Linked DNA regions of Drosophila melanogaster. The protein of the gene in region 2 interacts with the protein of the main gene of each other region in a biochemical or structural test. Each region holds a gene or a part of one and is shown on either strand. Other genes may lie near its edges.

Region 1 (6,685 bases), 6.3 Mb from region 2:
TGCAATATAAAGATATCGGCAATCTTCTTAAATCGCTCAGGCATACCAAATTCTGGGTATATAAAGAAATTGCTTATTTATTTCTTATTGGCCCTTCGAAATACTTATGTAACAAACTGATTCTTCAGGTCCCGATGGCATGGAAAAATTCTGCGAGGATATCGGCGTGGAGCCCGAGAATATTGTGATGCTGGTGCTGGCCTACAAAATGGGCGCCACCCAGATGGGCTTCTTCAGCCAGCAGGAGTGGCTAAAGGGCCTCACAGAACTCGACTGCGATTCGGCAGCGAAAATGGTTGTGAAATTGGACTATCTGCGCAGCATACTCAACGATCCCAACTCCTTTAAAAGCATCTACAGATACGCCTACGACTTTGCCAAGGTCAGTAATCCATTTGAATAAACAATGAGCTGCGTTTAATAAGGCTCTGCATATTCCGCAGGACTCGGACCAACGGTGTATGGATATACTCACTGCCAAAGCCATGCTTCAACTACTTTTGGGCAAACATTGGCCTCTGTATCCACAGTTCGCACAGTTTCTAGAGCAATCAAAGTACAAGGCGATCAACAAAGATCAGTGGTGTAATATTCTCGAGTTCTCGCGCACCATTAGCATTGATCTATCAAACTACGATATCGACGGAGCTTGTAAGTAACACAAAGGAGCTAACTAAACTAAACTGAACTATGTATTTCGCAACCGTATTAAAAGAAGCTGATAAATAAGTTAAAATAAGAACTTGAAACGGAGCATTTAGTTACCCCCATCTTTTTGCAGGGCCCGTCATGCTGGATGAGTTTGTTGAATGGCTGCGCCTGCAGCGGAGTCAGGTCACCTCCACAACCGGATCTAGCTGAGAAAAGCTGTATCGAGTCGCCTATTTCTAGTTCAACTTTGGGAGCTCAGTGCGGAGAGGAGTTCGCGGAGACTGAGTCGGAGATGGGATGCGATGCGATGGGATGGGAATGCTGATAAGATAGATCGGCGAAAATTTAAGACATAACCGCAGGACACTCACTGACACCCACACCCACACTCAGATCCACGATCAGATCCACCAGCCACTTCTTCGGCCTAAAACACACAAGCACACACTCACCCACACGGAAACACAAGGCATTTTGGAGAGACTGCGTACACTGGCAAAGCAACCAACTATGAAACTAAACTATTGATAATATATTTAATGTAATAATTTATGTATTAACGACGACAACTAAGAACTAAAACCACATTTTTCTACTTATAAGGCCTCTTTCGCAAACAAAAACAAAACATTAAAATCAGAACAGCAACAAGAGCCAAAACGGGGCAGCTTGTAAGGAGTAATCCCAGAGAACGAAACGATGGCAATAACCAAGAGACCCCAAATAGACCTATTCTAGAACATACAATCCTCCAACCCAAGCGACCCCTTCGAGATATCAGCAGGCATAGTCAAAATCTAAACGGAAATCTACACCAATAGTGGGGTATTCGTAGTCGTTATTAAATCAATGTAGAAAAACAAAATCTGGGGATTATTTAATAAAGTTATTAAGTAAACACATTATTTTTTCTATTTACTTGTGTGTGTTTTAGTGTTGTTTTTTTTTTATCAAAATTATTTTTAACCGTTATTTGAAAGTTTAACTGAAAAACATAGAAGGCTTTGAGATAGCTGTTTCTAATAATTTCTTTTTAACACAAATCAGGATCGAAACCTGCAATTACAAGGTGGCAGTATTTTTACTCAGAAAACGTTTGCAGCAATTCAAATTAGAAAAGGGGCTCTACAATATAAAGTTGACCGTTGACTGTTTAGTAAACTCAATTTATGAAACCCTTTTGAAATTTCAAAAATGTAACGTTAGTTTTTGTAGATTTTCAAATAAATAGCGGTTAAACACAGTGTTGCGCAGAGCAATAGGAAAAAATATTGCGCTCAATTCGAACAGAGTAAACGCCAGTAGGTAAATTCAAAAGGGTAACGGCCATAGAATTTGTTGTTCAACACTCAACAAAATACCGCGATACATACCAGAAAGTGTGCGATAGCCAGCGAAACGGGCACACCAATTCAGCTGACGCTTCACGTCCAATTCATTTTGGCATTTAAAAAATCGAACGGTTTCGGCGCGTTCTCCGCTTTGTGCTTGGTTTTCGTGCATTCGATGGGCAAAACCGAGATTTGATCGCCGCTTCTCTTGTCAACCGTGTGGATCTGATCTCCGTTTCCGAGGCACTTTCAGCCGATCGCCGGTGGAATTATAGGCTCAGAACGAGGAGTATCGCCGCAAAACTCCAGGCGAACGCAAACGCAAAAGGGGCAGTCCGTAGTAAAGAAGAAAGGAGAGCAAGATGGCCGCGAAGCCCGAGGATAAGAGCACGGATATTCCGGATCGCCTCGTCGACATCAACCAGCGGAAAACCTACAAGCGCATGCGGTTCTTCGGCAAGGTGAGTCCGGATGCGGATTTGCAGATGCCCGGGATCAGATCAGTCGAAGGGATCACACATTTACCTACACGCACACATGCACGCACCCGCATACACACATATCCATTTCCACATCCCGGTTTTCGTTCCGTTTTCCTTGCTGATGAGCATTCCCTTGTTGTTTTTGTAGCTCTCTCCTTTAAGAGCAGGAGAGAAAAAGAGAGCCTGTGTGTGGGAATCTTGTACGAGCCTGTGTGTGTGTGTTCATGCAGTTGGCTGCTTGTTCAGTTTTTTTTTTTGGCGCGGCTTCTTCGAATTTACATAGACAAGAAAAGGAACTGTTGCAACTTAGTTGAACCAACAATTTCCTCGTTGTGCTATTGGCATATAAATATTTTCTTGGAAGGGGCTCCGCAGATTGGAGCAAAGGTACTAAACATGTGATTGTTAAATATAAATTACTAATTTTATGTTGCCAACCAATATGGATAAAAAGTTTATACAGAATATGTTTGTAAAATAGACATCAATACGTTTATTAAACGCCATTTACTTGAAAATACCTATATGCAAAGTTTTATCATAGATCTGTTTTTAATACAGTATAAGGTTATGTTTTTGTATAATGTTTTTAAATACAAAATTAATATGCTTTATGCAGGGCGGGTTTGCAAAATGTTACGAGATCATCGATGTGGAAACCGACGACGTCTTCGCCGGCAAGATCGTATCCAAGAAGCTGATGATCAAACACAATCAGAAGGAGAAGACCGCCCAGGAGATAACTATTCACCGCAGCCTTAACCATCCGAACATTGTCAAGTTTCACAACTACTTTGAAGATTCGCAGAATATCTACATTGTGCTGGAGCTGTGCAAGAAAAGAGTGAGTTTAATAGAACATCTCTGCAATATGCCACCATGACACTTACCTCTCCGACTTACAGTCCATGATGGAGCTGCACAAACGTAGGAAAAGCATTACGGAGTTCGAATGCCGCTACTACATTTACCAGATAATCCAGGGCGTTAAGTACTTGCACGATAACCGCATTATCCATCGAGATCTGAAGCTGGGCAATCTCTTCCTCAACGATTTGTTGCACGTGAAGATCGGGGATTTCGGGTTGGCCACGCGCATTGAGTATGAGGGCGAGCGAAAAAAGACCTTATGCGGAACGCCCAACTATATAGCCCCGGAGATCCTCACCAAGAAGGGCCACTCCTTCGAGGTGGACATCTGGTCGATTGGCTGCGTCATGTACACACTGCTTGTGGGCCAGCCGCCGTTCGAAACCAAGACTCTGAAGGATACGTACTCGAAAATCAAGAAGTGCGAGTACCGCGTGCCCAGCTACTTAAGGAAACCGGCGGCGGATATGGTCATCGCCATGCTGCAGCCAAATCCGGAGAGCCGCCCGGCAATTGGTCAGCTGCTGAACTTTGAGTTCCTCAAGGGCTCAAAGGTGCCCATGTTCTTGCCCAGCTCTTGTCTGACAATGGCGCCGCGTATCGGCAGCAACGACACCATCGAGGATTCGATGCACCGCAAGCCACTGATGGAGATGAACGGCATCAGGCCCGACGACACTCGTCTGGAGTCGACCTTCCTCAAGGCCAATCTGCACGACGCCATTACCGCGTCAGCGCAGGTGTGCCGCCACAGCGAGGACTATCGCAGCGATATCGAGAGCCTGTACCAGCAGCTCACTAATCTTATCAACGGAAAGGTAAGTACCTTTTGCTCTATATTAGTTAAATAATTTAAGACTCTTATACCTCTTCACTTCTTTAGCCGCGAATTCTGCAAGGCAATCTGGGCGACGAGAACACAGATCCTGCAGCGCAGCCGCTCTTCTGGATATCCAAGTGGGTTGACTACAGCGACAAGTACGGATTTGGTTACCAGCTGTGCGATGAGGGCATCGGCGTGATGTTCAACGACACCACAAAGCTGATCCTGCTGCCGAATCAGATCAACGTACACTTCATCGACAAGGATGGCAAGGAGACGTACATGACCACCACGGATTACTGCAAGTCGCTTGACAAGAAGATGAAGCTGCTGTCGTACTTTAAGCGCTACATGATCGAGCACCTGGTGAAGGCAGGTGCCAACAATGTGAACATTGAGAGCGATCAAATCTCGCGTATGCCCCATTTACACTCCTGGTTCCGTACAACATGTGCCGTAGTTATGCATTTGACCAACGGTTCTGTGCAGGTTTGTATAATTGTACAGCATCGGCATCATGTACATCTGGTCCTAATGAACTATCTATCCTTCTTAGCTAAACTTCTCAGATCACATGAAGCTCATCCTCTGCCCGCGCATGAGTGCTATAACCTATATGGACCAGGAGAAGAACTTCCGCACCTACCGATTTTCGACCATTGTGGAGAACGGCGTGTCTAAAGACTTGTACCAGAAGATCCGATATGCCCAGGAGAAACTTAGGAAAATGCTGGAGAAGATGTTCACATAAGCGTAGCCAGCCCAACTATCATTATAAGGCCGAATGTTAGTTTAACGTAATTCACGAATGCCCTGGCCAACTTCATTTATAGCCCAGAAAGTATCCTCCTCTCCCATCATCTTTTAAAATTGTAGTTCCCGTTCAAATTGATTTGTTCGATGTTTATAGAATTTATTTGTTTTTGCCCCTTCCCCTTCATATCGAAAATACTGCTTAAGTTATATTCATCGTCAGTGTTGGGCCTCCCTCAAAAGTAATTTAATATATCTGTTTAATGGTTTTCGTACACGATCCGATCACTTAATGCATTTTAAAGAGATCAAATTAAATGTTTAAACTAAGCAAACGTGTTTCGAAATGCCTATATTCACCGAGGTGACTGATAACAAAATTTTAATGCTGGATACATTATAAAAGTAATAGTGTAATATTGTGCGTTCGTAGTGCGCTATAGCGCCATTTAAAATAATACATAAGTTACAATACTGCTGCAAAGTGTTTAAGTGTACAAGTATATTCAACTTTGGCCAGAAATATCTGTAGCTATAGGATACAATATGTAAATGCTTTTGAACTAAAAGCGAATATATATAAAATTTAATAAAATATCTGAAAAAAGATTGTTTGCAACGTTTAGGGCAGCTGTTCTTAAAATGCACCTGCCAGACTGTAGGTGACGCATTCAGGCGGCTGAGAATTATTTTGAACGAACAAACGTTACAGCCCTTGCATTTCACAACACTGGCATGAGTTATTTGAGAATGCTGTGAGATGGTAACACTGGCACCACTTCTGCGGTCACACCAAGTCAGCATATTGATTTTATTTTCTCGAAAAAAGATCCCAATACGTACACACACTCGCTGAAAAGCCGAACAAGTCTTAAACTTAGATGCAATTAGTGCCGAGGCGGACATAAATCCTCGACATGGGTGACAACGAACAGAAGGCGCTCCAGCTGATGGCCGAGGCGGAGAAGAAGTTGACCCAGCAGAAGGGCTTTCTGGGATCGCTGTTCGGGTGCGTATCAAATCAAAGAAGTTTCGCAATTTCTGTGGGAGTGGGGAAATGGAGCTGTGTCTGGTCTAGCCTAGCATCTCCACAACCCCACAAGGTACTGAGCCCTATTCCAAATAGCACTTGGATACCAATTCACTATGCTTACTACTTTGTTTTTATGTATATACCCACTCACCATAATACGTATACGCAGTTGTGGACTCTACGCCTCCACCCAGAAAGAGAAGAAAATAGCGCAAAAGTGCGACTTACAGAGATAAGTTTCAGATATGAAGAACAAAAAGTGTGCAAAATGTCGTTAAAAAATATCCGTAGTACACAATATATGTACACTATGCCATTCGTACAGGTTTCGATGAATCATAGTGCACAAAAGTTCAATCGTGTAAAATAAAAAACAAAGAAATTATATATGTAAGCTGAAATACATTTTTTGTTTTACCCATTCGAACTGTAATTCGTACTTGGAAACTTCCTCAGTTCGCTGAAAAACTTAGTTGTTTTTAAAAATCTACATTTTTAAGGTATTTTACAAAAAATTGTATATTTGCACAGCATCCAGAAACAAATCCAAGTTTAAACAATAGGCTTTTCAAAACCACCTTCGTATATGCATATATAAATGATAATATAAAAATATTATCATTAGTAAAAAGTTAATGCTCTTTTCTGATCCCTTGGATTACATTAAGGCTTATTACTTATCGATATCTACTATTCCAGAGGGTCCAACAAGGTGGAGGACGCCATCGAGTGCTACCAGCGG
Region 2 (6,958 bases):
CAGACTCTGATTGCAGCGCAGAAGTTGTAAGGCTATCCACGAGGTTAAAAGTTGTGTCGCCGATCATCTCCTCCCCTAAAATCATGGTACGCTGTAGGGCAGGACAAACTGCCGATACCACAACGGGCATCGTTCGATCTGCGGCCAGGGGAATGGACATACTGTCTGTGCTGTTGTCCATTGTGCTGCAGCCGGAAGCAGTTTTGCTCAGTGTCAACGATATTTCGTCAATTTGCCCGATGTGCGAGTCTTTGATAAGAGTCCCATCGTCCTCACACATGGTCAGCGACTCCAGCGCCTTGCGATCCCGGATCATGTCACTGAGCGTATATCCGCCTATGCTGCCGCCGATTCCCATGTTATCAGTTGTCTGGTTGGTAAGCGTAGTGGTAAGGTTTGGATCCTGCTCAAGACCAATTGTGGATTGAAGGAAGTTCAAGTTCGTAAAGTCTGCTGAGGTGATTAGCGAGTTGTTCATCCGTTCAGTGTTCATGGAGGAGCAGATGGAAGACGGCGGTGAGGTGTCTTGCAGGAAGGATTTGTGCATATTCGTCGTGACAAGACCGCCAATTTCCAGCTGAAGCATTGCTGGGGCACCCGCGACCGACCCGGTTCCAACACCGCTGTCATTTCCCGCTCCATTTTGGCTCTGAAAAAATAAGATACTTTAATATACAAATTAGTTGCAATTGCTTATTTGTACTTACGAAATCCAGATTCCGACGCTTTGGGCGAGTAAAGGTTTTCGAATTGTTTTTGAAGGCTTTCGTAAAATATAAAAGTTTAAAAATAAATTAGATCCTTGAGTTCTGCACTCGTTAAAGTAATGAATAGTAATGTATGGTGTCTTAACCGATAGGTGCAAGGTTTCTAAAAGCTATTTGTTTGAATTGTTTAATTTTTTTTGTTCATATTTAAAGGTCATCGCATCCAAACAGGATGTCATCATCAATGTCCAAGTCAAAGTTATTCTCATCGGCCACTAAAATATCCTCCATTTCATAGTCCAAACAATTTTGCCCGGTAGTCAATGGACCAATGGCTACTAATGGTGGCATATCGTTGAAGTTCTCACTGGGAAGATGGTCCACCTGGGAAAGGCTCATTTTCTGCACTGCCTTATTAAGAGGATTCAGCTCTTTTCCTGATAGGGGTCTAGAAATTTGGACATCCTCTTTAGACTTTCTGTCTAAAACTGTCACTGCAGGTTTATTTATTTTTTCTACCGACGGGTCGGTATTTATCATATTAGTTTCTGGTTTAAATTTAATGGTTTTTTTCGGGTCCGGCATAGTCGAAGTTATGCACAGCATGTCGTTGGTTATCAACCAGCCGGGGCTATTGGAAGTCTGCAATACGAATGTGCGCTGAAAGCGTCGTGGTTCCAGAGTATCCGATGATATCTCCTTAAAGTATCCCGTCAACGTAAAGATGCGTAGACTCGAAGTGAACACCTGGATGTCTAGCCCGACATTCTCTAAGTCTGTATGCATCAAAGGCAAGCGGCTTAAAGCGAGAAGTAGCGCAGCTCTACCCACTTGCAGCTTGGCGTTTTGTGCAAACGAGGAATGCTGGCGCTTCTGGTTTCTGTTGTACAGCTTGTAGCCGTAGACATAATTTAGTTGTACCGGCACGCTAAGCGAGAACATGGCTTGGTCGTCGTAATACTTCTTAAGTTTGAAACGCTCTTCGGTATCGTCAAAGAAAGTGTAGTATGAACTTATGAAGTCCTGGCAAAACTTTAAACCATTAGTCCCACCGCCTTGAAGTTGTTGAGACTTCGGAATATTATCAACAGCTTCTGTACTTTCCCCCAACTGCACACAGCCATGAACATTTTTCAACTGTGGTAGCATTTTTCGAATGACGTCCACGCTTAGCTTGGCCAAACCGTTTCCTGCCAAGAAGATCGTCTTGCAACTCAGTTTGTTGATGTAATTGAGTTCTCCCAAATCTTGAATCCTGTTTGCGCTTATGTCCAACCGCTCTAGGCTGGCAAAACTTTGGGAATTTCCCGCAAACGCTTTCAGGGAACACAAATAATTGTTGCTCAGTACTAGGCTGGTCACATGGGGAAATAAATGGTTTGAAAGAACTAGCACTGTTTCTAGCAGCTTGACCATATGCAGCGGACAAAAGTGCAGAGACAACTCCGGACTGGCGTGGAACCTGGAGAGATCTAAGGTGCGTGAATCCACCTCATAGCGTGATCTAAGGGCCTCCTGAATGGCAGTTGTAAATTCGTCTGTTATCTGGGCACACATCATCGATTTGGGCAGACCGGGTGTGACACGCACCTCGATTTTCTGGCACGTGTTAATAACTGCTACTTCCTCTTGCAAGCGTTTTAGGCGATTTGCGCTTAACAGGTTGTCCAACAGAAATTGTCCACGTGCCATATTATCTTCCGGTCCACTTCGCTTGAAGTTGAATATCTCCACCTTAATGGGCATCATCACCCACTTCAGTGCCACAAAAATTGAAGAATTGGAAACGCCGGCGCAGTTGGCGATGTTCACCGTGGACCATCCGGTCACAGTGGCCACGCGGTGGTCCTCTTCGGTGGAAGAGATCGTGTCCAGCACGGATCCCATTTGTTGCTCATTTCCAATCAGCTCTTGTACATATTCTCGAATTTTACTTTTTTCATTTAGATTTTTTCGCAAATCGTCAAGTGGCGACTGCGAATTCACGTGCTTTTTGAAGTTTTGGATCAAGCGGCTGTCCGGCTCGTGGGATTTGAAAGTGGCAAATATTTGCATCGCAAAGTTTTCAGGAAACTAGTAAAATTACAAAATCTTTTGAGGAAATAAACCCAGTAATTAAATTCCGTGCACACTACTAGCAATCTCCGGGAGTTTACAATTTTTTTAGTGTTAGTAAAGATCCAAAGGACGCTTCGCAAAAGCGATGTGTTCAGCACACTATTTGATATTTTACCGTTAAGTTAGCATTTAGCTATTTTTTAACTTACTGGATAAACGCCCTGAAGCTTTCATATATAATTATAAGTAATTGTTGTTTGTTAACGTAATTTTCTTACTTCCACTTCTACTATTGTTATCGCTTAAAAGAATATTTTGTATATATTATTTAAGCTATTTAAAATATTTATCTATGCTGAGTTTAACCATTGCATACATTTACAGGAATGACTATTAAGTATGAACTTTGTTGTAAATAGTTTTATTTAACTTATATTTTTAGCAATATTTGGAATTCTGGCATTCCACTTTGGAAAATCATTAAAAATAGCTCAGCATGACAATATTTCACTCAAATTAAATCGCCTAATCGATTTTTGATCCTCGTCTTTAGTTCGGTGGTAATTGTTTATTTAATTGTACGCAAATAGTTTATTTGCGTATTGCTTGATTGACTTTCGCTGGCTGGGCAGGAAGTAAATTGGATTTATATAATAATGTTTGCGTATAATGCGAGATTCTTGCCATATTAGCATAGCCAGTTTTTTTCCTTCAATATTATTGCCGTACCACGCACAGCTGTTTGCAATGGGAACGCGTGTGTGTGTGTGCGTATTGAGACTTGATTAATTACCGTAACAATAACATTGGCGCTGTTGCCAATTATGGCAATCGGCCACTTTGAAAGACAACGGTAACTACTGGCCAAGTAATGCTGCCCACATGCGACTTGAACTTTGTCAACGTAGCCGCCAGTTTAACCCAAATTTGATTTAGAAAGCGCAACTGCATGATGTGCTGCACATGTGTGTATGTTTGTGATCGGGTGCATCGGTATGTGTGGAAAAGGCTTACCCTCGTTGTTGTACTGCAAGTGCAATTGCTGCAACGGCGGCTGATTGTTCGTCTTCCACTGCTGCAATATGTTGGAGACATCGTCGTGGGTCTTATCCGCCAGAAATCTGCCAAGGAGTACCAGGCATATGAGTATTTATAGCATCGATGCCTCTGCCTGTGAAGTGCCAGCAGCAGTAGCAGCAGCTGCAGCAGCAACAACAACAGGAACAAAAACAACAGGAGTGGTTTCACTCACATATATGAATCATCCTTTAGTGCCTCATCGATGTCCAGGATATCCATGTCCAGCGATGGGTAAAACTTTATGCCTAGCTTAATAACACTTGATGAAGACCTAAATCATTGCCAGAAACGACAACAAAAAGGCCTTCGCTCGCTTGTCTGTTTGGCCAATACAAGATACTAATTTTGCTCAAAGCTGATAGAGATGAGCGATATCCGCGATTCCGTGGCGAGTCACTGGTATTTTTAAGCCGATGAGTCAATCTTGTGACTGTGAAAGCGAAAGTGAAAGTAATTATTGCAGCTGTTGGCAAAGTTAGCAAATTTCAACTTAAATATGAAGATAAATATTAAAATGATAACCTTTAATACCTAAATCATTGCATGCACGCTTGTTAAAGATTATATGTTAATTAAACGTTTTTATAATACAGACTGATTTGTAACTTTACTTGATTTGTAAATTATTTATTAAAATTAAAATTATCTCTAATATTCTTATTTTCATTGTTAATGCCTTTAATATAGATTTACATACATTTTGATTTAAATATGATTGGAATCCTACCTATCGACACCATTGTTTTGAATGCCGCAGATTTGTTCCCAGTCACAGTTAACCTCACGACGTTAATGGAGATGGCATATGAAACCTTATCGACTATCGAGTAATCATCGGATGCAGCTGACAACTCTGTGCGAATACGTTCACATTGACTACTTGGCAGGAGAGCAAGTGCCCAACATTTGTTGATTCTTTTGAAATTCCGGCCTCTATGGTTGGGAGATCATCGGGAAAAATGGAAAGATCAGTGGACGCCAGCATGGGAAAGAACTGCCGAGCCTGCGCCGAACACTCATCCATACTGGTGGACCTTTTCTCCAAGGAGATCTCTGATCCCCCCATTTGGGAAATGTTGAACTCAATTCTGCCGGAGATCTGTCGCGTGAAACGGGATGAAATGCCACAAAAGATCTGTCCTACCTGCCTGGTGGCCGCTCAAAATGCCTTTCACTTCCGTCACAAGTGTGAGCAGAGTTTTCAGTTCTTTTCCCAGCTCCTCCAGCTCGATAAATCAAACTCAAATCTGAGTAGATCCCATTGCAGAAGAGGTACTATGAACCCATTAATACCCTTCGAGATAGTTGGTTGCGAGGATCCATTGGACACAAATGTAACCAAATTGGACGCTAATCGGCCTGATGTAAAAACTGATATCGATGAGCCAACCGATGGAAAGGCAACTAATGGTCAGGAGAGTGAACCATTGCAAGAAGTTTTTGAAAGTAGGTCTATTCGATGTCATCCACTTTCACAAGAACTTCCATTGTACTGCTAAAATCTATTCTAGACTTGCCCGTTATATGCTAAAATTTAAATTTATTTTTTAGTAACAATGAACGATATTAAAACGGAAGATGAAGTATCCATTCAGGAGACATTTGAAGATGCCTTTGATGAAGAAAATGATAATAACAATACTGATAGCGAAAGGGAGGATTCAGACCAATGGACAGTGGGCTCGACTGAAGACCAAGATGAACCCTGGATTCCCGGCGGCGGAGGGCGCCAAACGGTTGGCGGCAATAATCAATCGCTTCTGTGCACAGAGTGTGGAGTGAGTTACTCGACTCAAAAGGCGTTGGCAAGGCACGTTGCCAAGCACAAGGAGCAAGGTGATACACAAAAGCCGCACCTCTGCGATTTCTGCGGTCGGGGATTTCGTACCAATGCCCAGCTAACGACCCATAGACGCCGTCATACTGGAGAGCGTCCTTTTAAATGCCCCCTCTGCCCGAAAGCTTATACGCACGGTCCGACTCTGAAGTCGCATATGCACACCCACGACGAGGAAAAGGGTCACAAATGTCCACAGTGCGACAAAACCTTTTACACGAGAGGCAATCTTAGGGCCCATATACAGAGGCACACTGGCGAACGACCCTATAAGTGTCCCGACTGCCCACAAACCTTTGCCAAAAACTCTGGCCTTAAGTTGCATAGCCGTCTGCACAAGGAAGAGCGACCCTTTAAATGTGAGCTCTGCGGCAAGGGATTCGTACAGAACCAGCATTTGATTACCCATTTGCGGGTCCACAACGGGGATCGCCAGTTCAAGTGCCCCGACTGCGACAAGTCGTTCTTCGAGAAATCGAACATGATGAAACATCAGCGAACCCATTCGGGTATAAAGCCATTTAAATGTGAGGAGTGCGGCCAAGCCTTTTCCCACAACCATCACCTTAAGAGTCATCTACGCATCCATACAGGCGAAAAGCCCTACAAGTGCGACCAGTGCGGCAAGGGTTTCAGTGCGAATCAGTCACTGATGAAGCATACCCTTTGGCACGTGGACAATAATGATCGGCCATTTAAATGTTCTCAGTGTCCCAAAGCCTATGACACTCAGCAGAGCTTACGGGGTCACGAGAAGACGCACAAAAACCCGGATGAGCCAAAAACGCTGCACCAATGCCCGCACTGCGACGTCAGGTTTGCTTTAAAAAAGACCCTGGATAAGCATATCACAAGCCACAAGATTCGACCCCACCCATGCCCGCAATGTCCAGAGGGATTTTTCTCCCAGAAGAGCTTAAAAAAGCACTTGCGACTTCACAACCTAAAGAAATAATATAAGATTATCCTGTAGCCCCAGCATAAGACCATTAGTTATAATAAGTGTTAAGTAGATATAACTACAGACTTCGTGTAAGGAAATCATTAAATTTGAACAATCTGATGTTACCAAAAATCATTGTTGTGGTATAATCGTAAGTTTATTGGTAAGTTATGTTATTTAAACAATCTAAAATTTCATTGTCCGTTCATTAAGGCAAGTTTTGTCTGTTGCACAGTTTCCAACTAATCCTGCGCCCTTCCGATTGCCAGCTGATGAATATTTCTATTTGCTATAACATAAATGCCTTGCTTACACATAATATTTGCTTACGTA

What was found. The genes of interacting proteins can lie anywhere in the genome.
Region 1: of the proteins of ssp2 (region 2) and polo, one has a biochemical effect on the other in vitro, tested with the Drosophila melanogaster proteins (one study listed by BioGRID).

What each region holds. Positions count from the first base shown.
Region 1 is NT_037436.4:20,307,966-20,314,650, forward strand, and holds polo (polo), read left to right. Parts: upstream 1-1,688; 5' UTR 1,689-2,344; coding exon 2,345-2,443; intron 2,444-3,083; coding exon 3,084-3,308; intron 3,309-3,369; coding exon 3,370-4,152; intron 4,153-4,217; coding exon 4,218-4,646; intron 4,647-4,713; coding exon 4,714-4,908; 3' UTR 4,909-5,501; downstream 5,502-6,685. Other genes in the region: SCCRO4 (squamous cell carcinoma-related oncogene 4), read left to right, coding at 129-382, 444-651, 782-861; alphaSnap (alpha soluble NSF attachment protein), read left to right, coding at 5,828-5,919, 6,643-6,685. UniProt on the Drosophila melanogaster protein: May play a role in regulating both nuclear and cytoplasmic aspects of the mitotic cycle. Regulates localization of the augmin complex during mitosis by ensuring its location on mitotic spindles.
Region 2 is NT_037436.4:13,962,452-13,969,409, reverse strand, and holds the start of ssp2 (short spindle 2), read right to left. Parts: upstream 4,208-6,958; 5' UTR 4,065-4,207; coding exon 4,018-4,064; intron 3,887-4,017; coding exon 3,780-3,886; exon of another isoform or gene 2,763-3,779; coding exon of another isoform or gene 915-2,762; exon of another isoform or gene 764-914; coding exon 708-763; intron 650-707; coding exon 1-649. Other genes in the region: Nxf3 (nuclear export factor 3), read right to left, coding at 915-2,762; Meics (meiotic central spindle), read left to right, coding at 4,781-5,291, 5,397-6,637.